4 linked regions of the Daphnia pulex genome follow. The protein of the gene in region 2 purifies or fractionates together with the protein of the main gene of each other region. This does not show direct contact. Links are inferred from orthologs where the notes say so. Each region holds a gene or a part of one and is shown on either strand. Other genes may lie near its edges.

Region 1 (6,628 bases), on a different chromosome or scaffold from region 2:
CCAACAAGGTACTGATAATAGTTCTTTAGTTTAAAAATGTCATTTCATTATTTTGTTTTGTATTTAGGTCATGATCTATCGATTCGTTACTCGTAATTCAGTCGAAGAAAGAGTAACACAGGTGGCAAAGAAGAAGATGATGTTGACTCATTTGGTCGTCCGCCCTGGAATGGGAGCCAAGGGAACATTTTCCAAACAAGAACTTGATGATATCCTTAGGTTTGGTACGGAAGAACTTTTCAAAGAAGAAGAAGGCAAGGAGGATGAAGCCATCCATTATGACGATGAAGCCATCAATCAGCTAGTTGATCGCTCAAATGAGGGCATAGAGCAAAAAGAGAGTTGGGCCAACGATTACTTATCCTCTTTCAAGGTGGCATCCTACGTCACGAAAGAAGGAGATGATGAAGAGGATCAGGATACTGAAATTATTAAGCAAGAAGCAGAAAATACCGACCCTGCTTACTGGGAGAAGCTTCTCCGTCATCACTACGAACAACAACAAGAGGATCTTGCTAGATCTCTTGGTAAAGGAAAGCGTGTACGAAAACAGGTGACTATTTTTCAGCCATTTAAATGACACGTTTCCTTTACGTAATTTTTTTTTCTTGGAACGTTAGGTTAACTACAATGACGGTGTTGAGGGACGTGACGATACTTCTTGGCAAGAAAACGTATCGGACTACAACTCTGATTTTTCGGGAGCATCCGACGATGATAAAGAAGATGATGACTTTGATGATCGGGGAGATGAGCCTGGCCGTGGTCGCCGCCGCAAAGGCACCGAGCGTCGCGATGAAAAAGATCGTCCTTTACCTCCTCTTCTTGCCAGAGTTGGTGGCAACATGGAGGTAAATTGCTAACTTTTTTCATGTCTTTTTGTAAATGCCCATTCAAAAGTTTAAAAAATACGGTGGCGTTGAAGGACCACAGCTGCCGAGGTATTTTGAGGGCTACAGAAAATAATTTGGCGAGATCATGGAGTGTTTTATTTGAGTTGTAATTGACGCTAAAGGCTCTCGCCTTCATTTTATCATGATTTGCTAATTTTTTTGTGATCATGCCGTTAAACTTTTTTTTTAAATATTAGGTCTTGGGGTTCAATGCTCGACAACGCAAAGCTTTCTTGAATGCTGTCATGCGCTACGGAATGCCTCCTCAAGATGCTTTCAACACTCAATGGCAAGTGTCTTTTCATATTCAGATAATTAGCCATATTAACGTTGTTATTGTGATAGGTTGGTACGTGATTTGCGGGGCAAGTCTGAACGCAATTTCAAGGCTTACGTTTCACTCTTCATGCGTCATCTTTGTGAGCCTGGTGCTGATAATGCCGAAACTTTTGCTGACGGAGTACCACGAGAGGGACTAAACCGACAACACGTTTTGACGCGAATCGGTGTCATGTCACTGATTCGCAAAAAGGTGCATGAATTCGAACATATTAACGGACTTTACAGTATGCCTGAAGTTGCGGCTCGGGCTGCTGAGCTGGTCGCTGCCAAGGACAAAGCCATTGAAGATAAAGTAACAACTTCTCAGGCTCCATCGGGCGAAAGCAGTTCTGCTACCCCGGCCGTCTCAGCGCCATCTACAGCTTGTCCATCTCCTACTACAACCACGAATGAAGAAACCAAGAAAAGAGACGGAGAAGACAAAGCAGAGGCAGATGATAAAAAGGAGGTCGATATTAAGAAAGAAAACGATGAGAAATCAAATCACGTAGACGAAAAGGAAAAGAAAGAGGAGGAAAAATCTAAATCAGAACCTTCCGAAACTATGGAAGTTGATGAAGAAAATTCGAAGACCATCAAAGTGGAAGATGAAAGCAAAAAGGAGATCAAGAGCGAGGAAAAGGCCAAAAAAGAGACCAAGGCTGAAGAAAAAATTGATTCTTCCGAAGTGGAGGTGGAAAAAATCGTCTCTGTGAAAGAAGAAAAGTCAGCAGAAGAAAAAGCCAAGGATAAAGAACTTGCTAAAGAAGAGCGTAGCAAGCGTAAATTCATGTTTAACATAGCAGATGGAGGCTTCACCGAACTTCACACCTTGTGGCAGAACGAAGAAAAAGCAGCTGTTCCAGGCAGAGAGTACGAAATTTGGCATCGGCGCCATGACTATTGGCTCTTAGCCGGCATCGTTACACACGGTTATGGGAGATGGCAAGATATTCAGAACGACGTTCGTTATGCCATTATCAACGAACCCTTCAAGATGGACGTCGGTAAAGGCAATTTCTTGGAAATAAAAAATAAGTTTTTGGCCCGACGCTTCAAGCTATTAGAACAGGCTTTGGTTATTGAAGAGCAATTGCGAAGAGCAGCCTACCTCAATTTGACGCAGGATTCAACCCATCCTGCCATGGCACTTAATGCTCGCTTCGCCGAAGTGGAATGCCTGGCCGAATCCCATCAACATCTCTCTAAGGAAAGTCTTGCAGGTAAAAATGGTTTTTCTGTTCAAATTTCCACCTGTGACTTTTTTCTACCGAATTTTTGTTTTTTTCTTCTTAGGTAACAAGCCAGCCAACGCGGTATTGCATAAGGTTCTGAATCAATTGGAAGAGCTTCTCTCGGACATGAAATCCGATGTGTCGCGTCTACCTGCTACTTTGGCTAGAATTCCACCTGTAGCGCAACGTCTTCAGATGTCCGAACGATCAATTTTGTCTCGTCTCGCTACCTCTGCAAGCCAACAAGCCGCCCAACAGCAAGCACAAGCTGCTTTTGGGAACCACTTTCCACCTGGCTTGACGGGCGGTCAGATGCCTTTCACTGGGCTAAATCTGGCCAATTTCCGGCCACAGTTTACTCTCCCCGGTCAGACTCCGACATCCAATTTGGCAATGACTGCAGCTGCTGCCGCCGCTGCTGCGGCAGCCGCAGCCGGCGTCCCTCAGGCAGCGTTCCCTGGAACTTCTCCTCCTGGCTCTGATAGCAAATAGACATTTCTTCAGATAGCTTTTTTTTATAGTATAACTTGCATAACACACTTTCTCACTTCACCTCCCCCTCCCCCTTTTTCTTCCATTTTTCATTAAGGAGTTAATTGGCTGCTCAAAACATTCCTGCCCTCTACCCTGACGACTGTGCTGTCTTTTTCTGCTCGATACCTCCCTCCCTCCCTCCCAACGTCTTTTGATTTGATTCTCGTAATCGCCGCTTCTTTCACTGTATTTATGACTATAATTCTCTTCATTAAATTTTTTTTCTAATTTTGCCATTGTGTCCGGACTCATTCAAACCATGTTCTCTGTTTCACATGATTGTTCCATTTGTGTTGGCAAAGCGTTGACTTCCTTGAATGATAACCTTCATATCTGCGGATCGTAAGAATAAAACTAATAATGAACCTTCAACTTTAATTGTCTTTGTAGGAACAGGATGAAGTGTTGTTTAAATCCACACACAAACAAACAAATATTGCCTTACGTTGCTGTTGTTCATTTCAGGAAACTCGTGGCTCTACTGGGTTATGTGATTGTGATACAAGGAATTCAAATATCCGTCAGATTTCCTGCGCAGTCGGTATTCTTGGAAAATCAGGTGTAATCAGTATGTAAAACAAGAAAGTATTATTACGTATATGATTTCCCTTTTTAGTTTTTGAAGATCAACTCATTTCCGAATGTGTGGTTTGTAAACAATGGAAACACGAGAATCTTAAATCGCAGGTAACGTCAAATCTTTCGTATCACAGGATGTATTGTGTGACAGTGAGTTCGTTTCTTCATGAGCAGAGATTATAATACTGCCTAGAAGGGTGCCGGACATTCAGGCCAGCAAGGAAGCAAGGTTGATGATCGTGGCCGGCAGGCCGCCATTGCCCACATTCGTGATGTGATGGCCCACGTTCGAGTGTATAAGTGAACGTCGGCTAAGGTTCACGTATAATTTAAAGAACTCGAGGGTTAGTGTAGTTTTTTTTTTTAAAACTAACCCTCAAATTCTTCAAAAATTATGAAATAATTCACGGGTCATCGTGAAGGGCAATGGATAATAATGGTGCAATTTTTTTAAAATTGCACCATTATTATTGCACCACCTAAAAGAACATTCGCAAATCCCGTGTGGGCCGTGTTTGTGAAGCACGTAATCAGTAGGGAAACGGGGAAAATACCTAAAAAACATTCTCCAATTCTATTGACCTGCGCCCTAGCGGCAAGCTCAAGTATCGCCTAGAGAGAGTTATAGGGGATTTCCGTCTTTACTCTTTACAGTCTTTAGTCTTTACATTCGTAGTCTGTGGTCAGAGTAAACGTGAAAGTCGTGCAACCCACCGTCAACTATTTTGTTCAAACTCATTGTATTCTACTGTGTAATCAAAATGATACAGGTGAAAACCAACACTAGCTTTATTTCATGCTAAAACATATACTCTTCTCATGTTTTATTAGGATTAATCTTAATTATCGGCTGTTTTGGTTTTATTTACAGGTTTCTAAATTGGCATGACTGACTATATGAGAAGTTATGTCCTTCCAAGAAAAGGACTTACAGTCAACAAGATTTCTTATTTGCTAACCCGTTGGCTGCTACCCATGAATCTCCCTATTTGTCAACAACAAACAAAGAGGTTAAATATTGCGATCATGCTATCATCATTGTAAGTTGTGTTTACATTGAATTTAGAGAAGTTGTCATACTAATAGCAATTTTAACGATTGTTTGGTTTCTTATTTAGATGTTGCCTATAAGACCAAATGTGGGGCATATGGTTATCCCTCCAAAATAAGGCAATCACACGTTCAATGCGGATCATTCACTTTGTCATTGAACTTGACTCATTCCATCTTCTGGATTGCTTAGGAAAGCTGATTGGTGTTATTCTGTGTAACTTCATTGTCATGTCACTGAATTTAAATTTTGTTTACATTTTGTTTAGCTTGATTTAGCCATTTAGGTAATGACCGAGAAGATGCGGCCTACATGAACATCATTTAGGCGACCAGCATCATTCGACTACCCAACCGGCTTCTACTACCCTGCTCTCAACACAGCATGGAGTTTTACTCTTAGATTTTTGGCTGTTCGCGATGTGTGATGGCGTTTCCTTGGACGAGATGATGATTTTGGCGAGAAAAATATTGCGTGAGTATATACTTAAAACTGTTTAATTATTCTTTTACTTCTTTTTTAAATGTTTTTTTTTTTTTTCATTTACAGCAACCTGAAGGTTCCTAAATTTGCATGACAGACTTTATGAAAAGTAATGTTCTTTCAAGAAAGTCAACAAGGTCCCTTTTTGCTAACCCAATGGCTGCTACCCTTGAATCTCCCTATTTAGCTCCTTACACAGTCCCTCTTGATTTGAGGTATTGCTTTTTGTCGCTACAATCTTCTTTGAATATTATTGTCATCCAAATAAATGTTCATTCTGCTTACAGGGTGATCCTTCGCTACTGATCATGGACTCCATTGGTGAAACTGAAAACCGACGAGAGAATGCTGTAATCCAAGACTGATAAATTGTGTGCTGATTTAAACAAGTTGCGACTGGAGAACCACCTGCAGGTCGAGGGTCTATGAGAAAGGTAACCGATTAATTATTTTTAATGTGCTTATCATGTAAACATACAACATGTAGTAGTGGAGATTTTCATATGAATTATTATTATTACAGATTCCTACCGTCAAAGAAACCAAACAAACCCAAGGTCGCCGTGTACGACTTACTGAACATTTCATACCAACTCTTCCTCTGTTACTCGGGAAATATATGACTGATCCCGAACAAGTTGCAAACCTCTTGTCAATCCCTCAATACTTAATATGGAAATCTATACTACCTCACGTCAAGAGAAGGTGAGTTCGTTTGATTTATGATATTGTTTTCAAAAGGCTGAGATACTTAACTTCTCAAATTTCAGAGTCTAGATTCGTTATTGCGCTTGATCCAGAATATAGTGGAAAGGCACACCACAACAGAAGTGTTGGAAGGCTGCGCTCAAGCGCTGGAATATCTTTGTAATGAAGATTACGCCATATCTTCTCGATGTGATTTAACAAGGAACACTTTAATTGATCGTATCGTTAAGAAATGCGAACAAGATTATGAAAATTATGTAACACTGATGGCTGGCGTAAGAATTTATTTAGTTTGCAATTTTTTTTCCTCGTCTTATATACTTATTCATGTGTTTTTATAGGACGACGAGCCCAACAAGGATTCGGTGTTTACGCTGGTATTGGGTTTGAAAAAAATTGCCTTATTCTCGTCACATCACAATCTTGGGACATGGAATTTGTGGGATGTTTAACGGAATTCAAGAAACTTTAAACCTAAATCGGTCAATGCCACTTGAAGTATCTAGTGATTTTCTTGGTTTTATTTCCGCAAAATATTATGCAGTTATTTTTTTAGGCTATAAAATATTGCATTTCTGCTTGCCATTCTGCTGTTTTATGGGAGCTTCTGCAATTCAAAAACTGTTCTGGACAAGGAACGTCTGCCGCTCAACAACAGAAACAATTAAGAGATCATTTGGACGCGTACATGTCTTTGATGACTGAGCTTATCACTTCGAACGTTGCTGATTTTAGAGAAGAGGTTGGTATTGTTAGTGAAAAATTCTTGTCATTCCACGCGTATTTATAATTTTGTTTTTTAGGCATACGTGTCTGTAGGGGAT
Region 2 (8,330 bases):
GACACACCCATCAGCCCCATACTGGAAAAGATTTCCGAAATAAACGATAAAAAACGGATTGAAGATAACAGGAGGCAACGTCAGTCAGGAATTTTCAATTTCCATAAAAACGTCAACAAATCTGCAACGAAAAGAAAAAGACACGAATGTAATGATGATGCTACATGTAATGATGAAGCAATTTGTTAAAAAGAAGTTTGTGTCGAGTATATCATGACGCCAGTTTTCGTAAAGAGGCCGACCCATTTGATTCATCAGGGAGGGGAAAGAGATTACAACAATTGAAAACGGCAGGCAAATGTAGGGTGATAAGGGAGATGCATTACAGCAAAAAAAGGGGGTGGGGGTGGGAGGGAGGGAGACGAAGGGGGTTGTTCAGGCTTTACGAGGGGTCAATGGTCGCCACGGTTTGCGTGCAGCCCGCCGGAGTTCTTGTGTGGCCAACTGGCGTCGAAGTTTCCTGTAATCGACAAGAAGAAAATGTAAATTTTAACCAGACTATGCAGACAAGCGATAAAAATCCCAAACGCCAGGTGACAGATGCTAGATGACTAGAGCTCGGAGGGGTTATCTCGGCTATTCAACTTACTATCGGGCTACGTCTCACTCACTTGGTAACTTGAGTCGAATGGAAAAAGAGGTCATCAGGTGCATCCATCCATGTGGGCAACTGCTTGATTCTTCCGCCCGAATGCCCATGAAGCCCGCCGCGTGATCCATGGCTGCGAGCACCTCTTCCGGCCAGTAGGTTGGGTGCGGTAAGTGACTGCGGAGCGGACGGAAGCAAACTGGGCTTTACTGTCGGCGAGATAGCGGAAGACGGTGACGGAGTGCCCTTAGTTCCAGGCAATAAGGGAGCAAGACCGCTAGAATTAGTCAAAGCAGAGACATAGAGCTCTGACGGAATATTAGGTCGCAATGAAGATATTGGTAGAGATGAAATGCTAGATAAGTTGGGTAGAAATGGAGATGCGTTGATGGGCGTTGGACTTCCGCTCATTCCCATGGCCAGACCAGACAGTGGAGCCAAAACGGAGAGTGGAGAAACATTGCTGGGACTCTCACGAGCAGATCGTTTGAAGGGAGGACCTTAAGACAAAAATTAAGAAAACACATGAAATTGAAAATAACTGTGTCCTCATAAATGTTTCAGCTTAATGAAATTGGAAAACTTACCTTCCAAAGGTGAGTCATCCAGACGCCTTTTAAGTCGGTCTCCGTCACGCTGCGGTAAGACGATCTTATCGTAAATGAGGCTACCGTCTACGTTGGAGCCAAACCAACAAGTTAGTTTATGAAACAAATTACAAATTTGTTTTGTTTAAATCATTCTACCGGCGGCTTTTGGAGGCTTTGGAAAAGCTTCACGCATCAGCTTGGGTTTGGGCAAGGAACGATCAGGCAGAATGAGCCAGGTAGCCGTAGTGGGAAGGATCTGACCACGAGCCAATCGGAAAGTCAAGTCGGCGACGCGTATACGTTTGGGAGGACGAATCGGTGCCAGCGGTTTCTGGGCACGCAACATCCAAGATTGCACTTCTGCAGGTGACTTTCGAGCCATACGCATTTGGACTACAAGGTTAAAAGAAACCAATAGTTTCACCAAAAGCTTTCTTTCGGGGACTCTGAGATTAACTTACAATCCTGTCGGATCGCTGCAGCGCTGATAGGAAGGAAAGGGAATCGTGCAGCATGACGAGGTCGCAACAAGTGAGCAGAAAACCTTCGAGCCAGCCGCGTTGTAGGTGTTACAGCTGTATAGAATTTTAAAGAAAACAATTAGATCTATTATCAATTTATAATTAAGAATCAATGTTACCCAAATAAAAAGCAGTTCGAGTCTACGATGAACGAGGATAATCGAAGGAAACGGTAGACCACGAGCCAAAGAAAAATTGTGCATATTAGATCAAATAATTCCCCAATTCACACAAAAATGTTATGTATAACTTCGAAGGGAGAACTAAAATCTCCATTTTTTTAGAAGCTGGCCTACCTTTCCACATCCTTGAGTTGTGCAACGATGTGGACGTGATGTCAGGGCTTCAGGACCACCACTCAAGTTCTTGGACTCTTCGTCGGATGAAGCAGGCAAGGCTGCCTTATTCGATACGGTGAGATCCCCGTACTTTTTCCAATAGGACCAACACGATTGGCACAATCTGCTTTGTGGTGGAACGGCAGACGAGGCAGTATTATTTGGACTCCATGCGTACCATTGAACCGAAGTTGCAACTGGAAAACGAAATGTGTTAACAGTTAAAAAGCCGGACCGAAAACGATTGTAATTGGAGTTACCTGCGCAACATTCACAAAATTTGCCCGGACCCAAACCAATTTCGATTTGGTGAGCTCCGTTCTTCGATGATTGCGGAAGAGGTGGACCAATTGCAGCGGGATGAGGTTTGTTACTAAAAATAATTCAAACAAAAAAGATGTTTCGAATGCAATAAATTATTTGTATGGTACTGGTATTGCTTACTATGTAGGTATGTAGACTTGTTTTAGTTTTGATTCAGCTTCGACAGCCTTCACTCTTTTTTGTTGAACGTAGCGATCAGTAGTTTTCCATAAATAATAGTATTCGATTAAGCTGGACGGGACTTTCCAATTCAAAAAATCTTGGCGAACATCATTAAAATCTTTTCCGTATTTCTCTGTGATAACACCAAATAAATGATAGTGAGTAAACTAAATAATCGGAACACATCAGAAATCCGATATTACCCATTGCTTCTTCAAAAAGATTTGCTTCAGAGGCGGACCACTCTTCCATTTGATCACGACATAAAATAGGACCAGTTGGGGGAATGAGAGCGCACGTTGCTTTGCCTAAATCATATTCTGACTGGTGTAGTGCATCCATGGCATGGAACTAAAATTTAAAAAAAAATTAAGATGCAAAGAATATTTGAATTTCAAAATGGTTCATAGTTCACATACCAAAGTTATATCTCTTGAAGCAGCAGCTGCACTCATGTGTAAGCTGGGTTGTTTGACAGAAGAAGAACAATCTAATGCTCGGGCGAATGTTCCCACTGATCTCGCAACAACCAGGAACTGATCTATTTCACGATCTGATAACCCGTGTTCAGGGGTCCACGTTAAGACTTCTAATTCTTCCATGTTGCGACCGTCTGTAGTACCTGTATTGACATATATGTTAGTATTTCTTACGAATATAATCACCAGGTAAAGTTATTGACCTTCTTTCATAAGAGGGGTGATCTCTGCCTGAAACCGGGAACCAACGCGGATTTCTCCACGATCAGCTAGCAGAGTTCGCTGCACTGGATCGTACACCAATGTATAAAAAAATGCGTCCTAAAATTTAATTGTTGGAACTTAGAAAGTGGTTGATCATAATGAGAATTAATAATAGTATAATACCTCTTTGTCAATGTAAGACGAAAATGATTCAGTCTCATTAAGGAGGGTAACACTGCATTTTCCACGAATATTTGTTGCTGGAAGAATTTCAACTTGTTTTGAAAGGAACAATTCTCTTTGATTAAGCTGATTTTTTTGTTTCAAATTCAACTCTTCATCTACTGGCTCTTTCTCTTCAACCTTTTCAACTGCTTCTTTCTCTGTTTTAATTTCAACTACAGAGGTAGTTTTTTCTTCTTCCTTTTTGCTTGAAGTATTGTCACCATCTGATTCTGTTTCCATCTTGACTGCAGGATCAGGATCAGCAGATGCACCATCAGCATTTGATGTAGGTGATGTGACAGCTTTTGCAGGAGAGCTGATTGGATCGGTTTTAGCTGTACCATTACCATTATTTTCATTTACTCCACCATCAACAAATTCTAATAAAAATTCATTTTGAGATCAAGTAATTATTTAAATTTGTTAAACTAATAAGCTCACCTTGATGTTTATCAGCAAGGGAAAGCAGGGTAGCAGGTATGTCCCTTCGTCGAAAATAGCACATAACTTTGGCTTCCACATTACCGCTTGATGTCTAAATAGACACAAAATAATACTATCTGACAGGTGAAAGAAGATTACACTGACTTCCTACCTTATTTAACTCTTCAATCCTTCGAATTTGATAAGGCATGGAGGGTGCAGTCTCAAAGTAGACATAGTCTGAAATTAACAACACATTAATAAATAAATATCACTCGGTCGAACCAATGTTGTTCATCGCGCCGAGTCTTGACATGTTACCCGGCGTATGTCATTGGCATTTCTTATATGATAAAGACACTTACCCCCCACTCGATACATATTAGTTGTCATTTTCCAGTAGAAAACTTCGTCACTTAGTGTAATTCACAACAAAAAGTGCTTAATATAGTCAAATTATCATGAATAGTGAAAAACTCTGGTCGTACAAGCAACTTGGTACAAGTGTCTTCAGTTGCACCAAGCTGCCGCTAGGGGTGGCGTTTAATTGCACTACGGATCTTAGATGGACGCTGAACCCTTCTCTGAACCAACCAAACAAACCAAACTCGATTTTTCACAAGCGCCAAGCGCGCTCGCGCTCCAGATTGCAGATTGTTAAGAAATGAAATGTATCCTAGATTTTTAACGTTATTTCCTAGTAACTTGAAAAATAATTGTTCTTGTATGGCTTGAAATCAAAATTTTTATAACGACAAATCATTGGTAAAAATAGCAAAAGGAATTTAATATATTTCTATTTTTTTTACCGGAATTTAAATTTTTCGAGGAATTGACAGTGCAGGTAGCTGAGATATGATTAAAACAGCACAATGCATTTTATAAATGTGCTTACTCGAATTTAGATATTTGAACTCAAAACCGGGTACGTTCTGAAGTATCTCTTTAGATTCTTCTGAATTTCGGAGAGCTTAAAGATAAAATAAAAATAAGATAAACACTGGTTTCATTTTATTGCTTTAATTTATTTGCGCAGTTATCTCTCTTTCCCTCTGGCCGTTTTAAGTTAAAATTAAAGATTTCAATTGCGCACCTGCTGTTGTAGGTGGTGTTAGCACTAAGCAGGCATATATGCCTGCACTATAGTGCAGTGCGTTTTTCACCCAAATAGCATACCCCTGCAAATAGTAAGAATAATCTAATAAATGTTGTCGGGTACTTCAAAATGTATTTATTATTTATAATATATATGTGTGTAACATGAACTGAGATTGGTTCATAATTCTTAAAATAAACAGTTTCACTCAGGTTCCAAATAACGGCTAACTTGGGCAGCTCGAGTAACATTGACTGTAGAGTTTTATTGCTCCACAAGCTGCATCAGTAAGGCTGTGCCAGATACTCTGATCCAAATCCAATCCACGAACCTTCTCTTCCGGTAGAAACACAATATCTACCGATTCGTCAGCTTCTGCTTGACAACTCTTCAAATAGAGATTTTCTACTTCTTTAGATGTCAAAGAGCAACTGCAAATATATGATCAGAATTTTATTTTAAAATGTGAGACAATTAACTCTTAAAAATGCACTCACAGCACAAGAAATTCAGCACTCGGCCGCCCAAGTCGTTCGAGGCTTCGAACTACTCCTAACAGTAGAGGGTCCTTTAATGATTCCAGTGGTAAATTAACTTCATCGCGAATTTCACATTTAACCGAGTCGAAAACCTCTTCTCGAATTCGAAGCGAGTTTTCTGGAGCAGTGCATTCTTCTTCTGTCCAAGACTGTATAGATGTTGACACATTATCTGGTTCAGGGTGACCACCAGGCCTATCTAGTTTGCCTTTGTCCTCACCAGTCCACATAGCACGTTTCAAGAACAGAAATTTGCCATCTGAAGTTAACAACAGAGATCCTACACCCAATGGGTCAGCTAAGCACGACCGCTTATTGTTAAAACACCGAGTTCCGTACGCAACTAACTCCTTCCCAAATGGATTGCAATTTGTTCCTATTAACTCCATGTAAGTTGTTAGTCCCAGATTAAAAACAACTTGGTTATCATCATCAATTGTTATACCTTCAAATCGAAATTTTGATTGATTGTATAACCTATCATTATTTTTACATTTTTCATTCCATATCAACTTAATAGATTTTTCTATCCAAATATCAGATTTGTTGTTAAATCTGCTAGAAAAATGTATTTGGGTTTGACTTCTTAAGATGGGTATTTTGCTGAAACTCAAGTTGATAATTTCAACTCCTTCTGTCCCATTTTGTGTTTTGAAAGTGAACTCATCCATAGAAACGGTTTTTTAAAAACAACTAAAATCTCCCGGTGCTTACAGTGATGATGTGTGTTCTATTCGATTTGATAGAGCAATGATGATCTATTCAAAAACAAGCGCAGAATGACATTATTATTTTCCTGTGTTTATTACTTAAATTACAAAAACTACGTACCTAAACATTGATTGGAGAGTAAAAATGTATGCAAGTCAAGCACGAACACAAGACCATTAAATCTTACATGAATATTCAGTCAAAACATTTTTTTGACGAAACGCTAACAAATAAGTTTATTGTTTACCATGGTTTACCAAATTTCGTTGACGTTGACAGAAGTTAGTTCCTAATGATTACATAAAATCTCGGTAGAGGACCCTGTTTTACAACAAATAAATTAACTAGCGCCTCGAGTGCTGAAAAGTGAAATCGTATCTTTCAGGAATAGTAAGATCACGGATTTGCGACGGATGGAAGGATTCACCAGGAATTTTCTTTATTTGCATAGCCATATAATGTATCTATTCAGTATATCAAACTGCTACACCACGGTAAAAATGGACAGTAGATGGCTATAACGACGTTGAAATTTAGCCTTACATTTTAACACCAAGAACTATCTAAGAGACACTTGCCATGAAACCAGGAATGCATTAGTTGGTTAATCTCGGTTAGACCTTTAACGTCCACACCTTCCTCTATTTCTTCCGGCATCTAAATAATGACAACGGGACAATTTTAAGAGAACTCATTTCAAAAATAACAATTGATTGACCTAATAAGCACTGCTTACCAACGACGGTGGAACAACGCGACGGCATACATGTCGACGGGTGTGTTCTTTGAAGGCCTCTGTCAAATCAGATTTCAATGATTCAGTCAGACAAGGCTTGCAAAGCTTACATTCAAGACTGGAACAATTGGCACAACGGGAGGCCGCACACCGCTCGGGAAATACGACTAAATCTTTAAACGCCACTTCGGGCTGCGATAGTAGTTCATCGTCAGTTCTAATTCCCAAAAATTATTTAGTTAAGACATTAAAAACCATGAAGAAATAAGAAAATGTCAAAGCTATTTTTTTACCCGACTGAATTTGGATATCCAGAAGGAATAATACCGATCAGTTTCAATACATTGAAGATGACCTGTTCATACATTAGCCTGTTTGGAGGGAAGTGTTGAGACGACAAATTTGGTGACATGTTCGCCTGGAATATTAATTTGTAAATTTAATAATCAATAATTATTCACGGTTTCTAAAGTCATACTTCCATAATGAAGACGTTGAGATCTTCGTCCACAACGAAATCCACTCGAATCATTTCGAAAAAATTACGAGATGACGCAAATTTGGAACTTGCCGATGCCAAGGATAATTCTCGTCTCAACAGCATTGTTCGAATCGCATCATCAATTTGCTGCCAAATGATTTTAGGATCTTTACCTTTTATCAGATAAATTCATTTTTAAAAATGTATAAATTCATTGAGAAACAAGAAATTTTTTTTTTTAATGTCCTTGCCAAGCCGTACAAGCGTACCTATGCTGAGAAGGTAGGCATTAAAAGACTCCTTCATACCGAATCCCAAACCTGAATAATACGGTTTCAATGACGAAACGTTCCATATTGGTAAATAGTCATCTCCAATTACATATTTATCGATTTTCTTAACATCAAAAGGATGGTATTTTTCTGGACAAAATCTGAAATCGTGATTCAAAGAAATTTTTAAAAATTAATAATTTAACGAGGGGTTAACCGGGTTAACCTCGTTAAATCTTTCGGCGGAGGTAGGAAAACTTTTAATACCGAAATAGGATGTCACCATCATAGATATAGACTCTAAGTGGTTCGATTGACGTAATGATCGTATAAACACCAATATCGAACTTGTGCCCATCTGCCGGTTATTTAATGATCAGTTAGACAAAAGTTGAAATTAAGTCGCTTACATTAAAATAAACGCGCCGCACCTATCAAAAAAGGTTTGCGAACGTACTCTTGGACGAACGTCCCTGGTGTCTCCAAGTCTAGATCAACCAACGGTTGGATTTTGATACCTCGGTGATTGTTACTTTTCTGGACAAACAAACTTTCGGGATTCTTCTTTGCCTAGATCATAAAATTTTTATCAAGCTTTTCTCCAGTTTACTCTACTTTCTATCTACACTACTATTTTTTC
Region 3 (8,201 bases), on a different chromosome or scaffold from region 2:
TACGACACATGAAAGATTATTCGTATCCGGTGGCCATGATAACATTTTAAAGTTGTGGGATAGTAGGAGGCAAGTATTTGATAATTAATTGCGTGTTAATTCAATGAGAAATAATTTTTCTTTTCAGTCCCAAGGCTCCGTTATACGACATGACGGGACATGAAGGCAAGATCCTGTGCGCTGACTGGTCAAATCCTTCGATAATAATAAGTGGTGCAACGGATAATACGTTAAAGATCTTTAAATCTGAAGTATAAATTAAAATTGCCACCAAGTTGAGATAAACAAATTTTTGGAAACTGGAATGAATTAGTCTATTTTGGCCGTTAGTTAACTTTAAAACGAAGTATAGACATGGTGTATAGAGTAGTCAGTAGTCCAGTGACGCGTACCGCCGACAAGGCAACGTCGTACTAGCTATAATATAGCCTCGAGTAATATTTTTTTCTTCTGTATTTTTCGAATGGACTAAGTCTAGTTTTAATCCTATACATTTTTTCCTACCCATTTTTTTAAGTGATACAAAATTAATTGGATTGCATATTAACCAGTCACAGCGCTTGATACATTCTGCTTCAGCTGGATAGGTGTGCACTTCCAAGTTTCAACGACGCAATCTACTAGCTGCAAGGGGGCAAGCTTAACAACGCGGTCTGGAGAATTGTGTAGTCATAGTTTTAGGTATTAGTTTTACCAGCAGAATTCGTATTCTCAGAGTCATGAGTCGTATGTTCGAGATTTCCAGCAAAAGGTATCAGCTAACCAAGTATTTTATCGATGAGTTCAACAGGAGCTTAAAAGCGGGAACATGGTGTTCAAGCTGACAAGTATCCAAGTATAGGGAGTAAGGGTGACGGAAGAAATAAAAAAGAAATGAACGAGTAAGACACATCCAGCTGCATGAATTCCACGAGTTTCACAATATTCCAACTGAAAATCAGGATTTAGATACGCTTCAAGGTAATAATGATTGTCATGTTAAGTATTGCCGTTTATTTTACCAATCATCGTGTTCAGATACAAATTGGAATGCCTTATTTAGTGCAGTTCCGTTGAGACCAGCACTCGCCGATTGCAAAATTGCCGAACAAATGCCAAATTATATTCTGATATAACTAAAACAGAAGTAAATCTGAAATTCAACTTCGGATTTCTTTCTCCCGTTTCACCGAGAAGATCCAAAAACACTTGGGGATGCTCGATGCGCTGGAAACCTATACCACAGCTACGAACTAAATAGTGTCCGGAATTACCGGAAGAGAGACTGCTGGATTGTGTGCGGCAGTTCAAGGAGCAACGGTCAGAGGCTAACCCTCTTTATGCCGCTGATTGGAAATCTTTTTGGAAAAGACATTGATCTCAAGGTACTCAATCGAAAGAATCTTTGTAAAATGACTTCATGCCAGATTGGATTAAGTACTGGAGAAATCGGATGAACGAACTTGACCTAGAAGAGGAAATCAAAACTCAGGAAACCACGCGGTTTAAACGCAACAAACACGAAAGCAATTCATATAACACGTTCACATACATTACTTTCCGTTCAGTTGGACTTTTAATCACCACTTTAAAAACCACTTTTTACGAAACCGACGAACTTAAAAATTATCACAATATAATTTGCAAATTAATAACTGGGAGCCGTGACTGAAACAATAACGAAGCACTAGAGGTACCACCAGTTGCCTTAACTTATCGGTTATCCATATCGATGAAACCTTTAGAATTATTTTTTTATATTATTGAGGCCTATAAAAACATAATGATTTAAGAAATAAGATAACTAGATAACAATACTAGTGACTAGTACTGTAACCTAACATATGTAATCTAACCTATGTAACCTAACACCAGAATAGTAAAATTTATCATAGTTTTGAAATTAAAATATGCACTATCCCAATTCAAGTATTTAATATTTATTAACTTCAACCTTAATCCTAGTAAAACCTCAAACTTTTCCTACGGTATTCCAACGTTCCACCAACTAGGTTGGGCTTACTGATCGCTGATTCTCCCTACAAAATCATTCTTAAAAATAAACGCTTCTTGCCTATTAAAGCTTCTGTTACGCTACATGTTGTTGAATCAGTATTCCAGTTTTAAAGTATGCACTCAACATAAGTGAAGTGCGTATCTTAGGATGTAGAAAAAAGACCAAACTAAAATGAAAAACTTAGTAAAAATGTATTGAAGACTGAGAACCCGATTGAGGGTATGCAGTTGGTGATAGGAGCCGGAGTTTACATTCTAATTAAGATACACGTAGAAAATTGGATGTGAATGAATCTCGAAGAATCACCATCAGTGTAAAATTAGCGAAAATGAAATAAAACCCTAATTGGTATTTTCAAACTTTTTCTCCTTTACTGCTATCGGCGCAAACCGGAACAGGGGAGCTTAATTCATGCGATGTAGATTTATCTTCTTCGGGTTCTGAAAATACATATAATTGGTAAGAAATCTGAGATAACCACGATTACGTGAACACTAACCTTTTATTTCATTCGCCATGGACAAAGCACTACCTTCACTAGAAGATTCACCACTAGACTTCAGTGTTGTCTCATTTTTCTTGTCCGAATCCTTTACAGTCTCTTTTGAAGTACCTTCCTTATTCTCGCCATTCACTTCTTTGTCCTCCTTTTCTTCCTTTTTGACCTCTGCAGCACCCTCAGCTGTTTCGGTTCTTGGTCTTTTGCGATTTGCTCCTTTAAATGATCTATATAGTAGAGAATAATGATTGAAAAAATGAAAAATTGCACGATTTATTAATGAATTCAGACCTTTGATCTCGGCGGGAATCCCCTTCATCTTCGGAATCACTGTATTCATTGTCTGGTGCAATCCTTTTATCTGATGCTCGTATAGATATACGTTCATCGGGATTAGATTTATCTTCTTCGTCGGAATCTTCGTTAATGGCATCCTCGGGAATTGCTGTCAGAATAATTTTGGATCAGTTAAACGCAATGCAATGAAATAATAAATACAATTGAAGAATTAAATTTAATGCAAGTACCTTGCATTTGGACTCCAGGAGCATGAGGTAACATGCGGAGGTTTTCGAAAAGACGAGTTCTAAGAAAAACATGTCACTCAACATATAATTCTTTGAATAAAACACTAAAAACTTACTTGATTTTATCTAAATATTCCGGAGTATTTTGATTTGCCATGTTAGACGGACTAATGTGCAATTTAAAATCGGGACCAAAATATTCAAAATAATCGTTGTAAGGGAGTTCATTTGCAATGTCATTTCCCAGTGCCACTGCGGTCTCGTAAGTCCAACAACGGGCAACATTTCGAATAGTGTAACCACCACCTCCAAGCAGCAGTAAAGGCAGATTATGTTTCTTAACAAAATCAACACATTTTGCGTGACCTAAAGACAACTTGATAATAACATGTATACTAAAAACAATAGTTCCGAACACATACCTTTCAAAGTAAGATTAAAGCATCCCAAACGATCACCAGACAAACTATCGGCACCGCATTGGAGAACCACTGCACTCGGCTGATAAGTTTCCATCACTTTTGACATGATAGGTACGAAGATTTGCTCATAGCTTTCATCATCTATTCCATCTCTCAGGGGGAAATTTACGGCATAATATTTTCCTTTGCCTGCACCAATGTCCTACAACAAAAGGATAAATAACAGTTTCTTATTCAAAATTTAGTTCAAAACTTCTTACTCTGAGATCTCCAGTTCCAGGAAAATATTCTCCATATTTGTGAAATGAAACAGTCATTACACGATCAGTAGTGTAAAAGGCTTCTTCCACTCCATCACCATGATGAATATCAATGTCAATATACAAAACACGTTGGTGGTATTTCAGAAGCTCTAAAATTGCCAACACTATGTCATTTACCTAAAATATGGAAAGAGATGAACATTAGTTAGTAAGTTATATCCAAAAACTGTTATTAAGTTATTCATTTACATAGCAGAATCCTGATGCCTCAGACTTTTTGGCATGATGTAATCCCCCAGCCCAGTTCACAGCTATCTCAGTTGCTTGCTTGTTGAGCTTCACAGCTCCAGCTACAGAACCTCCAGCAGATAATTGACAAAATTCGTAGAGCCCATCAAAAACAGGACAGTCTTCACCCACATTAACTAAAAAACAAACAAATAAATTAATTCACAATTTCAAATTGATCAAATTGTAAACACATCTTACATCTCTGCATCTGTTTATTGTATTCTGTCATATTGTCAGGTCTGATGCTTCGAAGAAATCGAATGTAATCATCACTGTGGAACTTGGTCATTTCTTCAGCTGTGGCTTTGTGTGGTCGCTAACAAAAAATAAATTCAATTAAACTGTGGCAATTATCATCTAGCTTCTTGAATTTTTACATAGATTTCCATTTTACGGTATAGCCCATAATTCAAGAGCAAGTTGTGGGTCATGCGTATGCGATGAGGTTTCATGGGATGTCCCTTCAATTTCAAAAATTTATTATTAATTACAGTTTCATTAACATAAATGTGTTCAATATTATTACCTGTCCATAATAAAAATTCCCGATGTCACCTAGGTTAATAAAAAAAGGAATTACAAATTTAAGAGTTAAAATGAAAAGTCACCATAAAAATGCCAACCCACCCACCAAGTAGGACGTCAATTATACCCCCGACAACCTCATCGACAAATTTGACATGAAAATCTTAATAAAATTTTGAAGCAATTCAAAAATAAAACCCAATTTAAATGATAATATAGCCACATATCTTTCTTTTTTAATACTATGTGCTCTTCAGTCTTCAAACATCTATAATTCTTTGTGATACTACTGTGCATAAATGACGTCCCACTTGCCAAATATTGTTACTTCCACATAAATTTTGTACATCAAAATGTCACAATAGATAGGTATATAAATTTAGCAAAAATCAAGTATCTTTGGGAATTTATAAAATAAATAGAATATGACCACTGAAATAATTAATTTAAAAAAGGACGCCGGCAGTCAAACACGCGACATGAAACGTTAATTATACATGATACAATTATTTTTCTAACTTACTGTCATAATAGTAGCAAACTCGCTTTCTGCTGTGACTTGGTTGAGTAGTCATTTTCGAAATTGAAAATCACAATTCTTTATTAAAATTATTTTTACTTTTCGACAGTTACACTGAAAAGAAAAGACACCAGCATCAATTGCTTTCGCTGCGTCGAATGCGAATGCTTACATTTACAGTGTTGCCAAATCTACAAACTAACTACGATAGCCCAAAGCCTCAAACGCGAATTTGAGGAAACATATTTGCCAGCTCTCAAAAAATCTCGAATCTCCTTCGATTCGAGTCGAGTCCTTACAAAACTATAAAAATGATGATAATAAGTGGAGGCAGAGTAATGGATAATTATCTGTTGCCCTGGTGGAGGAGTCAAGGTAAAGTATCACGTCAAACTAATTGCAAGAAGCAATTTTTCCATGAATGTTGTTGATAGGATTGAATATGTAATAATCAGTTTTCAGAAGTCGGAACCCTTCTGGGAAACATAATGTTTAATAAATATATTGGAATTTGATTTTTTTGGAAAACCCACACGAAACAAGTGATTTTCAAAATGAAAAAATTACGCAGTTATATTTTTTAAATCTTATATTATCAATTTCCAAATACGAAGGTATTTGAAATAAACATATTCTAGTAAATAATAAATTTAGAAATTAGGGATTAGGTTAGGGACTAAGGAGTATGGAACTAGAAACCAGAGCCATTAAGCTGGAGATCTAACGATCTATCAACTCCGTTAGACGTTTTCAGAGATAAGGAGATGGGCTCGCCGGAAGGAGCAGCGCAGTCGAATTCGTCTTCCGAGAAGGGGCAGGGGGAAAAATGTCGAAATCTTCGTTTTGGTTTCTTTTCTAAATAAGATTTGAAAAAGCCACCAGTCTTAGGTTGCGCCAAGCGGACAAAAAATAAAAATAAAAATTTTTGGCTGATGTAGGCTATTACAGATGTTATTCTTTCCTGGTCGGTCTGAAAAGAGCTGAATCTCTTTCCAGTCATCGATGGACGGGAAGATATAAAAAAATCTAGAAGAAGAAGAGAAAGAGGCAGATGACAGTTTACTTTTAGTCGCTAGAGCCTAGATGCCAGTTTCAACGCGCGCAGTTAAAATTGGTGAAATTCGACCGACCCACCATCTACTGTCGAAAAAGTAATCGAAGCCATCTATTGGCGAAATTGGAACTAATCCTCCCGTATGCCAAAAAACCTGTAGGGGAGACCGGACCCCTCTTGGACAGTCGCGGTTTTTCCCGCATATCTCCCGATCCCCTTAGGCAAAAGAATTTTTTTTTGGCTAAGGTCATTTTTTAGCCTTGCCTCCACCCCCTTGATTTTTTTAAAATGTGTAACTTTAAAATTTAAGAATTTACATTGATTTCCATTTTTCGGTGTTTTTTACCGAGCCGGGGTGAAATTAGACAGGGGCCTGTACCAAGTTAGACGGGGTTCGAAAAGGTGGAAATTAATGTCTTTAAATTATTTTAAAAACCTTGTATGATAGTTCTTCCAATAATAAATAATTTAAAAACATTTGTTTAAAAATTTTTTTACTCAAACAAACTTGGAGCAAGATCAATAATTCGGGCGAAAAATTTTGCAATAATTTATCGTGTTTTTTCTTCCTCCTATAACTCCCGTTCTACTCTCGGGAAATTAATTAAACTACACAGGATCTAGCATCATCACATCTAGAACAATGTGAAATCTAGAATTTTAAAGCAATTTTTACTATATTTTAAGACACTGTCCAACTTGGAACAGTGTCCAACATGGGTCCGGTCTCCCCTACAGAATCCCTACGGGAAATTCGTCTGTTTGGCTGCGTCCTGGTAAGTGTTGTCCCCCTATACCCTAACCACGGGCCTGCTGAGACCAACCACGCACCTACTTCTGTCATGCTTCTGCTCCCCCAAAAAACCCGTCGCCCCAGCATCATACGGGCCTCATGGGACTACGCGTTTCTTTATTTTATTGTTGCATGAAAGACATTTGTATTGATTCAAAGTCAATCCGCTTTTGAATCAATTCCTACATTTCAGCGGTCATTTCAAGTCGTTTCCCCACCCCTTCGAATCCAAAACCGATCCAAGGGGAGGGTTCCCCTCTAGTCTTTGTTCGAAATCCCCTTGCGGTGGTTTTTCTCGACAAGGGGAAACGGATTTTGAAGGGGTCGGTTTGCCAGATGATGCCCAATTATTATGACTTATTTAATTTAAGTTATTGTAGAAAAAGGACAGATATTTGACTTAAGAAAAACAAGAAAATTAAAATCGTATCACTAAGAAGTGTTCTAGTAGAAGTTAACACACGCCCAAACAAAGAAAAAAATCTTTCCGTTACAGCGTAAGATGCAATGCTATCATTAAATTTCCAAAACAAGTTTTTTATATTTTGGAAGTAATCAAGAAAAGATTGTATATTGGCTTAGCTTCAAGAAACCGAGTGAGCTCAACCTTCTTTTTGTTGGAAAATAGAATTCCCCTTGCTATTTTACATTAACCCAGAATAAATATCAGTAGGGTCATCAGGGGTTGTTGCCTTAGTAGAATCAGAGACGTCTAAATATGTTAGATGGATTTCAATCTTGCTGATGATTTGTTTCTTCAGTTTGGTATCTTTTTCGCTTGTCCCTAACCAAATCAATTTAAATTTTGGGTGTAGTGAGCCGACAACTGAAAATTCTCTTGCCTAAGAAAGATGTCAAATCTTTTTTTCAATCTTTCTAACAAGGCATCAACTAATGGGAGTGAAATACTAATAGGGGGATGGCTAGAGTTTTCATCTCGATTCTTGAGATTATTCAAACTATTCCCAATATCTACTATGGAAGGTAGTAGGTTTCCGGAAGTAACATCCTTCTCTCCCTGTAGAATGTCCAATCCAAATGCAATGGGCTGCATCACAGTAACATAATCATTAATGAATAAAGTAATCTGTAGCTGTCAGGCAGGGAACTTTCAAGTAGTCACAACTTTCAAGTCTTTTTTTTTCCATTTTTTGGCAATCTTATTTACGTGGCGAACAGCATCATACCATGCATTCCATCGTGTAGCATTGGGTATTATAAACAATACGCCTAAAGAAAAAATGAGATTCTCACAATTAAAATACAGCCTCGAGTCTCAATAAATCAATGTATTGTTGTACAAATCTATTC
Region 4 (7,917 bases), on a different chromosome or scaffold from region 2:
ACTTCTTCTCAGACAAATATCGAAGAGGAACAGCGTCAATTCGTAAATATCGACAAGAACAACGGACGCCAAAATCGTGCCTTGAGTCTATTAGTGACTGTTACATCGACGTCGACGTCCTTCTCCTTTTCCACGACCACGATCAAGAAAACTATTAATCTGAGCGGGCCAGCGCAATTGTCGTGCATGCCAAGTGGTTTCGCCTTGTGTTAGATATTTTAGACAGTTAAGACTTTGTCTCACTCTCTTTTTCTATTTTAGAAGCGAAAGTAATTGCATTTGCTTTTTAGTTATATTCCTTAGAATAATGTTTTTATTATTTATGCATTCATTTCTAACATCATTCAGCCTATAAAGTCGCCTATTCTGGACTTTTTCTTTCTAGTAAAAGGCCGCAAAACCTGATTGATAAAAATCAGTTTAGAAAATTGTGTTTTACCCTATTTTGTTTCATGTTCTTATTTTTAACTTAAATGCAATTTTCTTTTCAAACCTGGATCCACAAGGATTTTGGTTTGTTGTTATTGCCTTACCACACAAAATGTATACATGAGAATTTAGTTAAATAAATAATAGTGTTCATTATTATATGACTGAGTCACAGCAGTTAATAATCAGTGGTAGCGTGATTTAGTAATTAAACGGTTTCTCCTTCAATTTTCTGGTGATTTGGGTGTCTGCCTGTCTGGTTTTAAATCTCCCATGAATTATTCACGATATAATGCTTTAATTGCGTCATAAAGAAAGACATTTAATGGAAAACGACCATACGCAGACATATTATGCAAGAAGTAAACGGCATCCCAAAGTCGACAAGCGCTGCACTGCTGTTGATGTCACAATACATTGAACCTTACTAACTGCCAGGTTAATCGGTCGATGCTCGACGACTGATTCATTAGAAAATTAAGGTCGTTAACGGACCCTATCATTGTCTACTTGATGAACGGCGTCTGTTGAATAAATCACGATAGCCTTATACGCGTTCAAGTTCAGACTGTTATTGATTTTACCGAGAAACGGAAATCGGTTCATATCACGAAAGTTTACGAGCATTGTGTCTCAGGTCGCTGTGATGTATACTGGTTCTTTTCTCAGACATTTGAAAACCGTTTAAAATGTAATACTATATTGGTTTCGTGTATTAAGGAGATATCGTAGTGGATAGAAAAAAAACTTCGGGTATGGTGCATATCCATAGAGCGACAGCCAGCCATAAACCAGTGCCATAAAACGTTTCTGGTGGAAATTACCTGCACACTTTATATACCTTTAGGGGAAACATTTAGGGGAAAAGGTTTTCCCCTATACAACATATATGCGTCTTTGACTCTTTGTTCAGTTGACGCAGTAATAAGTGAAAAGGGGCGCCATGTTTTCCTCCGTTAATTTATGTTTACACAATATTTACAAAAGTAATTAAGAACCAAAAACGAAATGAATTGATTACCGTTATAAAAATCCTGTATTTGTTGCATCGTATACCGTCTACAAAGGAGAAAAGAACACCTTATACGCTTAATTATGAAATGTCACCCTCCACAACCACAAAGTAATAAAAGAATGTTAAAAGTGATCGAATAAAGTCAAAAGTCATTACTCGTTACAAAAGTGAATGATTGTGAATTGTTTTGAATGTCGTGACGAGCAGCAATATTCTTTTCTTTGATCGTTAATTGCTCATTCCGTAAATTTTGACGCGTTTTGCTTCACTCTATACGATGGATGGACAGTCTTTCTGAACAACCGGAACCAGATTGCCCGCCTTAAAAGGCCCGTTGGTAAAGAACCTGGAGGTGACTGTATTCATGACGGTGTCTGATAGCGTTTTCTGCTTACCCAAAAGCCACAATTGCTCTGCATTGAATTATAGATTCAGAAAATTAGCCATTGAATTAATTATTATCAAATGAGGGGATTACCTCGCCGATATCCAGTGCAAAGGGGATCGCAACTCCAGGCTAGAGCATAATTAGTGTAGTCAGTAGCGATAATCCAGAATCGAATGTCCACGGTTGCTGCACGAGAAATTTTGTTTACAATTGATTAATCTAGAAATGCTTTATTAATAATTTCAGAATTTCTTTGTCTTACCGTTCCAACTGACGATAGGCATCTGAACTAGAAATTTGCTCAATTCTCCGTAGTCAAAGTAAGCATTGCCCGCTGCAATCGTAACAGCGTTGTCTCTGTCAAAAATGTTAAATAAGATATTTCGGTTGAACATCATTTTGGGATGCCAGTCTCAGTCGATTCTCAAAACTTACATATTGCTAATTCCTTTGAAACTCATCTTGAGAGCTCCCTGTTTGGACGGTCTGATGTCAATCAGCGAGCACCTGGTGTCGTCCTCGAAAGTTGACGGATACCGGCTGATCTCGTACCACCGAGTAGTAATAAACTAGCGCACGTAAAAATTGCGTAACGACCACAACACACGGTAGAAATTACAAAATTAATATTATACCTGAGCTGGATTAAAGCTGGGCTGCGTTGGGTATTTGGGACAATCACCGGGAATTACAATCTGGCCCAAAACGAAGGACGGTATTTCGACTGTCAGTACAGCAGCCAGCAGCATCAGCGCACTAAGGTTCTTTGCCATTGTGATGTTTGATGTTTTTGTCCTGGCGTGTGTTCTTCGGATGACAAACACCGGCGGTCTAATCCACAACGACGAGCTGCGCGTATCTTTTATACACTAAGACAAGAAATTCACGCCTTGCGCACCTTGTATAACGTGATAACAAAAAAGAACGCTCCTAGCACTGGGTTAGTAACCGATGTGCCAACAAAGAACCCCGCTGCTTGTTTTTTGGAGGGGAGGATAGAGAAGATACGAGTGTGGTGGTGGTAGACTCTCCTCAGTGGGGCGTAATTGTTTCACGCAGGTCAACTCTTCGAGACCCTACCCTTCTCGTTTCTTATAGCGCTGGATATAATCAATTCCAGCATGCTGAAGAAGAAGAAGAAAAATATTCCTGCTTCTCGAATGCTATCGAAAGGCACGATCGTCCAGCCACTTGCTTCACAGATTTTTCAACGTGCTGCTGCAATCCGTCTCGTTCTTTGTGGCCGCGTCACGCCCGCTTCGGAGGTCGAGCTGAGCTGTTATTGCTGCCTCCCCGCTGAGCGCGAAAGGTTGATTCGGCTGGAAATGGGCATCCATGAATGCCACATGCAGCTTTTTTGGGGAGGGAAAAAACGAAATTCGTGTTTATTATGATTCAACCTTGAAAGTGGAAATTAAACCCTGGGGTTAAGAGACCAAGTCCCAGTACAGCACCGCGAGCCGTACGTAACACCACGCGTCAACGCGCTCGATCAAGGTCCCGCAAGGCCAAAGATCGGGTAAACAGCTCTGTCGTGAGTTATTTTACTTGTATACCCCGATTGAAAATAAGCATCATCCATCTCTTTGATGTTGGCTTCCTCCAACCGAAAATGCATATCTCAACGATGGCCAGCGCTCTTTCGATTAGGTGATTAATGGATCTATTCAGTCAGGAAAGTGACTTGACAACCAGCACCGATAGGCCCAGCACCGACTTGAAACGCAATTTCCGTGTTAGAGACTAAAACCGAAATTAATTATACAATGTATTGTCTGGAAAATTCGGTAAATACCTTTATTAACAGTTAAGCAACCCGTGGCTTTTCAATGCGTAAAAATAATTTTATGATGAGGTTTCATTGAAACAAAAAAATACAAAATCGATTTTTTAAAATTGAAAATCAGAAGAGATTAACGATGCCGGTATTTTCAATGAATTTTATTTCAGTCGTTTGCGGATATTGGAAAAAAATATTGCGCGCCTTTGTTTTGGGCGTTTGGGTAACTGCCCTTGAAAAACCGATGCGTCACGTTTTTGCAAGGCATATTTCAACTGACAAAAAAGCGAAAAAAACAAACAAACAAAAACATTATGAAAATGTGGAATCGATTTTCACATTTCGCGATCCATAAACATAACAAATGTTGGCGTTTTCTCAATCCCAATACGGGGTCCAACCATCCAGACGGACCTTGGCCGAACACGGTGTTGAGGATGCTGCTGGAGTCTTCGTCATGCTCAACCTCAAGCGCTTTAATTGCGTTTTCAAGGTTGAATAATAAATAACATCGGTCCTCTACACTTATTCACGGGTAGGAGAGGAACTTTTTTACTGCCGCATGATGCCCACACCCAGCTGAAGACGATAGATGTTTACCTGCTGCTTGCTGGCGGGCCAGTGTGAGCCGAACAATGTTGATTCACGGTCAAGACGGATATGCTGTTGGCTTCTAAATCCAAACATCACAGATTAGAAATCCGAGTTCAAAGAAAACAGTCGAACATGTACAAATACAAAATCACGAATAATTAGAACAGTCGGGAATTAGGCAATTTACTGTTATTTAGCTTTCGAAATCTAATGATTGCGTCATAGGGTCAGGCGATCAAGAGTCGAATTTTGTTCTGAATAAGAGCGTCTTTCAACCATTTATTGAAATTTCATCACAACCCACTTAATGGACTGCAAATGGACTAGTAACCTAATTAACGGCAGTAATTAGAATAATTCAAATTGAACCAAATCGCGGAAAGCTATTTATTGAATACACAAACTTGGATCTCCAAGCGATGTAAGGGCCAAATTCGAAGATTTGAATGTTAAAAAAAAGATGAGCGTGTACGTGGGACAGTAAAGAATCAAACGATGAGAAATAGGGTATAGGGCGATACACTGGAAATGCATTAATTAGTAGGGGTTTCCAGTTCTGAGGCTGGCGTCTCAGGCTCCTCGTCGTTGTAAATATTTTCAGCCATTTGCCAAACTTGCATGATGTTATCCTCAGAGACGGAGCAGATGACCCAGGGCTCATTCGGGTTCCAGGAGAAATCAGAGATCTTGGCCGTATGACCACCGTGAATGAACTGTTGAGAATTCAATAATTAAACAGCATCCGAATCAAACAATCGCATCAATATTTCAACTTACCAACAATTCTGGAGGGCCATCTTCGGCATCTTCGGTGGATTGTTCTTCTCCAATTTTGGACAAGTCCCAGACATGCAAGCGTCGGTCGGTGCCAGACGAAGCCAAAATAGTCTCATTATGCGGTGACCATTGGACTTGAAAGATTTCATCCTTGTGCGACTCGAACGAATGTAATTTGAGTTTAAGATTTCTCAAATCCCAAAGAGCTACAGTCTAGAAATACAATTTGGAGACATGTTTAGTTGAGTAGAATAAATAGTAGATTTTAATATTAAATGAATACTTTGTCTGCAGATCCGGTAGCTAAAATAAATTCGGAGTAAGGATTGAATGACAGACAGTTCACTTCAGCCGTATGAGCATCCACGGTATGGGAGGGCCGGCTGGTGTTATTGCTGCGAGTATCCCAAATCATAAGCTTCTGATCATCGGCAACGGAACCAAACAAGGACTCGTGAAGCAAGTGCCAAGCGACATCTTCTACAACTGCTGTGTGGCCAGTGAATACGGTTTTGGCGTCGAGAACACGATTCTCTCTCGGCGATGCGTTAATATCCCACAAGCAAATGGTGTGGTCATCAGATGCTGACAGCAAGTGACCATTAAGGTTTGGATTCCAAGACAAACCGTAACCTTCCTTCTGGTGTCCTCTCAGACTAAAAAAAGATAATGTAGTTGTGAGTAACAAGTTTAGGTCATAAGAAATCATTTGAATAAAAAATGACTCACCGTAAATCAGGGTGGCACTCTCCACTAGGATCAGGGCGAGAAGGATGTTTTGTGTAGTCAAAGACCAAGACGTCAGATGAAGGTGTTTTAGTGGCAATCACACAAGGATTCTGGGGCATGTAGCGAGCCCTGTTGACTTCTCCTTCATGGTTGATCTTGATCTCAATTTCAATCTTACCACTCACTGATCCAAAGCCTCCAAACTCTGATAGAGATGAAGCATTAAAACAATAGTGCAACAGATTTGATCAAGTTAAATGACTACCTCCTTTATCATTGTCATAATGTGAAGCATCAAACTGAGCATCCTCATTAGGAAGCTGGACAGATGCAATCAAGAGGTGATTTTGTTCATCGCTAGTGTGAGTACCAAGGATGAGACGATGCACTGAGTAGTCTTTGCCTTCAGGCCTAACGGAGAAAAGAAACATTCAACAGTTAGAAAGAAACAATAAAACACCTTTGTTCTCAGTAATTTACCTTGTAACATCAGGAAGCCATTGAGCTGTAAGTGAAGGCCATTCCAGAGCATGTGTCATAACCAAATCATACAAAAATGGAGTATTTTTCTTCCAAATTTTGTATTCCTCGTTGATGACGCGTTCTTCCACTGCTTCATCAAAGGGCTCTAAAAAAGATTGGATTAAATTTCACTGTCATCCAATAACAAAGAATGATTTCAACAGATACCTCCATCTTTATCTGCCATCGTTAGTCAATCAAGTCCTTTACTAATGATGAACCGGCTGGAACCTGTCAAGCAATAGATTCGGTTAGCAGAGACTTTTGAGCGTGCTGCTTTGTTAAATGGCGGCAAAAACGAAAGCAATTCCAGTGGTGCCACTTTGGAAAAAGTCGAAACTACTTCAATAGTTTATTTTGCCGTTCATAGATGGCATGGTCATGTCTTTAAAGAAAAAAATCTTGAAAATAATAAAATTGTTGTCAAATTAAAAGAATTTGCCTACTTCAAAAGTCTGATTTAAAAATTAAATTTAATTAGTAATAATTAAAAACAATATTTAGGTAGGCCATGGGTGTTGAGAGATTTGTATGCCTGTGGGTAGGTCTAGGAAAAAATCTTCATGTAAGGCAGTGTAAGGCATAAAAACAGTTATATTGTTATAGGAATACAGTTATTTTTTCTAGAAAAAAATATTTGCTTTCAAAAATATATCAATGCTTAATTCCACAAAATTTTAATGGTTTTCCGATGCCCAATATGATTTTAACTTTTTCTCAAGCTTTTTCTGTTGCGCATAATTAATTTCATAGTGGTTTAGCGCTAGATGCCAAAACAATGGAAGGAAATTTGAAGGTGCTTCACCTTTGTTGTCAAGGTTAAAGTGATCTACCTGTTACAATGTAAAGGCGATTGGCGCTCTAGGAAATGGTTCACAGTAAATCATGAAGAAAGCCTCCTCCGGCCATCCGTTAAACAATGTAATATTTTCCGTCATCAGACAATCAAACCGATATTTGAACTAGAAGATAGCAAGACGAGTAAACCACTTCAAAATTCTCTTTCATTGCACAGTGTATTTTTTGCCATAAATTTAATTGAGTTCAGTATAGAAGTTGTACAGCGTTAATAGGATTATTTTTTACTGCGTCTAAGAAAAATTAATGATTTGAAAACACCGTCATTTCTTTCCATTCCTTCATAACGTATTTATTGGATTAAAATTTTCTGCTATCACAACATTCACTAAAGGCTAATAACGTAGTGCTTCAACCAAATGAAATATATATATATATATATTTCGCCGAGCATTACGTGTAGTATGAGGAGTATGAGGAATATGAGGAGTAATAATGGATGGAAATGCCGGTTGAGATATTATCATAACAATGGTCCAAAATTGAAGTCAACTTCTGTTCTCATTTCAAAAGAGATATTCCACAATTTAAGTTAGCTGTTGGCCTTCCGTTCATTTGAACAATAATTCATTGTAGATTCGATCGGACCCAATATATTCATCATCATCATTCATCCAGCATGGTACGATATAAGCTTTTGCACGAAAGACACCCATACACCATATTAACCACGTTAAAGCATCAGAGTTATGTTAAAAAAAGAAGAAACAAATATGGTTCAACCAAAAGTTGGATAAACAAAAATTTTGGTTTTGGTCTTGGTTGCTGCAGCTAAGGAAAAACTATTTAAGAAACTGATAAAAGCGGTTGTTTTTAGCGCAATGA

Evidence for each region.
Region 1: the proteins of metastasis-associated protein MTA3-like (region 2) and chromodomain-helicase-DNA-binding protein Mi-2 homolog fractionate together in Drosophila melanogaster (co-fractionation; 3 studies listed by BioGRID, with this or other methods). This does not show direct contact. The link is inferred for Daphnia pulex from reciprocal best matches to the Drosophila melanogaster genes MTA1-like and Mi-2.
Region 3: the proteins of metastasis-associated protein MTA3-like (region 2) and histone deacetylase 1-like fractionate together in Drosophila melanogaster (co-fractionation; 3 studies listed by BioGRID, with this or other methods). This does not show direct contact. The link is inferred for Daphnia pulex from reciprocal best matches to the Drosophila melanogaster genes MTA1-like and HDAC1.
Region 4: the proteins of metastasis-associated protein MTA3-like (region 2) and chromatin assembly factor 1 p55 subunit purify together in Drosophila melanogaster (affinity purification with western blotting; 4 studies listed by BioGRID, with this or other methods). This does not show direct contact. The link is inferred for Daphnia pulex from reciprocal best matches to the Drosophila melanogaster genes MTA1-like and Caf1-55.

What each region holds. Positions count from the first base shown.
Region 1 is NC_060018.1:5,944,699-5,951,326, forward strand, and holds the end of chromodomain-helicase-DNA-binding protein Mi-2 homolog, read left to right. Parts: coding exon 1-8; intron 9-67; coding exon 68-553; intron 554-620; coding exon 621-851; intron 852-1,090; coding exon 1,091-1,182; intron 1,183-1,238; coding exon 1,239-2,437; intron 2,438-2,510; coding exon 2,511-2,941; 3' UTR 2,942-3,355; downstream 3,356-6,628. Other genes in the region: phenylalanine--tRNA ligase alpha subunit A-like, read right to left, coding at 2,758-2,807; cohesin subunit SA-2-like, read left to right, coding at 6,249-6,302, 6,361-6,546, 6,608-6,628. UniProt on the Drosophila melanogaster protein: ATP-dependent chromatin-remodeling factor which acts in nucleosome-remodeling by catalyzing ATP-dependent nucleosome mobilization. Involved in regulating transcription. Plays a vital role in development.
Region 2 is NC_060020.1:5,940,950-5,949,279, reverse strand, and holds metastasis-associated protein MTA3-like, read right to left. Parts: upstream 4,421-8,330; 5' UTR 4,249-4,420; coding exon 4,221-4,248; intron 4,096-4,220; coding exon 4,028-4,095; intron 3,968-4,027; coding exon 3,874-3,967; intron 3,813-3,873; coding exon 3,391-3,812; intron 3,325-3,390; coding exon 3,207-3,324; intron 3,147-3,206; coding exon 2,944-3,146; intron 2,876-2,943; coding exon 2,728-2,875; intron 2,658-2,727; coding exon 2,483-2,657; intron 2,412-2,482; coding exon 2,299-2,411; intron 2,236-2,298; coding exon 1,997-2,235; intron 1,842-1,996; coding exon 1,820-1,841; intron 1,755-1,819; coding exon 1,641-1,754; intron 1,573-1,640; coding exon 1,336-1,572; intron 1,264-1,335; coding exon 1,177-1,263; intron 1,090-1,176; coding exon 612-1,089; intron 461-611; coding exon 376-460; 3' UTR 150-375; downstream 1-149. Other genes in the region: uridine diphosphate glucose pyrophosphatase NUDT22-like, read right to left, coding at 5,178-5,382, 5,449-5,720; probable tubulin polyglutamylase ttll-15, read right to left, coding at 6,748-6,858, 6,938-7,154, 7,231-7,355, 7,416-7,591, 7,688-7,851, 7,958-8,048, 8,122-8,260.
Region 3 is NC_060024.1:1,148,045-1,156,245, reverse strand, and holds histone deacetylase 1-like, read right to left. Parts: upstream 5,239-8,201; 5' UTR 5,099-5,238; coding exon 5,047-5,098; intron 4,554-5,046; coding exon 4,525-4,553; intron 4,460-4,524; coding exon 4,376-4,459; intron 4,315-4,375; coding exon 4,197-4,314; intron 4,133-4,196; coding exon 3,957-4,132; intron 3,885-3,956; coding exon 3,705-3,884; intron 3,647-3,704; coding exon 3,445-3,646; intron 3,389-3,444; coding exon 3,139-3,388; intron 3,082-3,138; coding exon 3,023-3,081; intron 2,941-3,022; coding exon 2,787-2,940; intron 2,723-2,786; coding exon 2,496-2,722; intron 2,437-2,495; coding exon 2,351-2,436; 3' UTR 2,169-2,350; downstream 1-2,168. Other genes in the region: ribosome biogenesis protein WDR12 homolog, read left to right, coding at 1-69, 128-257. UniProt on the Drosophila melanogaster protein: Catalyzes the deacetylation of lysine residues on the N-terminal part of the core histones (H2A, H2B, H3 and H4).
Region 4 is NC_060023.1:6,452,103-6,460,019, forward strand, and holds chromatin assembly factor 1 p55 subunit, read right to left. Parts: upstream 6,560-7,917; 5' UTR 6,422-6,559; coding exon 6,403-6,421; intron 6,341-6,402; coding exon 6,193-6,340; intron 6,124-6,192; coding exon 5,978-6,123; intron 5,918-5,977; coding exon 5,713-5,917; intron 5,640-5,712; coding exon 5,267-5,639; intron 5,197-5,266; coding exon 4,984-5,196; intron 4,920-4,983; coding exon 4,740-4,919; 3' UTR 4,580-4,739; downstream 1-4,579. Other genes in the region: uncharacterized protein LOC124197707, read left to right, coding at 1-213; apolipoprotein D-like, read right to left, coding at 1,715-1,857, 1,923-2,018, 2,095-2,189, 2,268-2,401, 2,468-2,605. UniProt on the Drosophila melanogaster protein: Core histone-binding subunit that may target chromatin assembly factors, chromatin remodeling factors and histone deacetylases to their histone substrates in a manner that is regulated by nucleosomal DNA.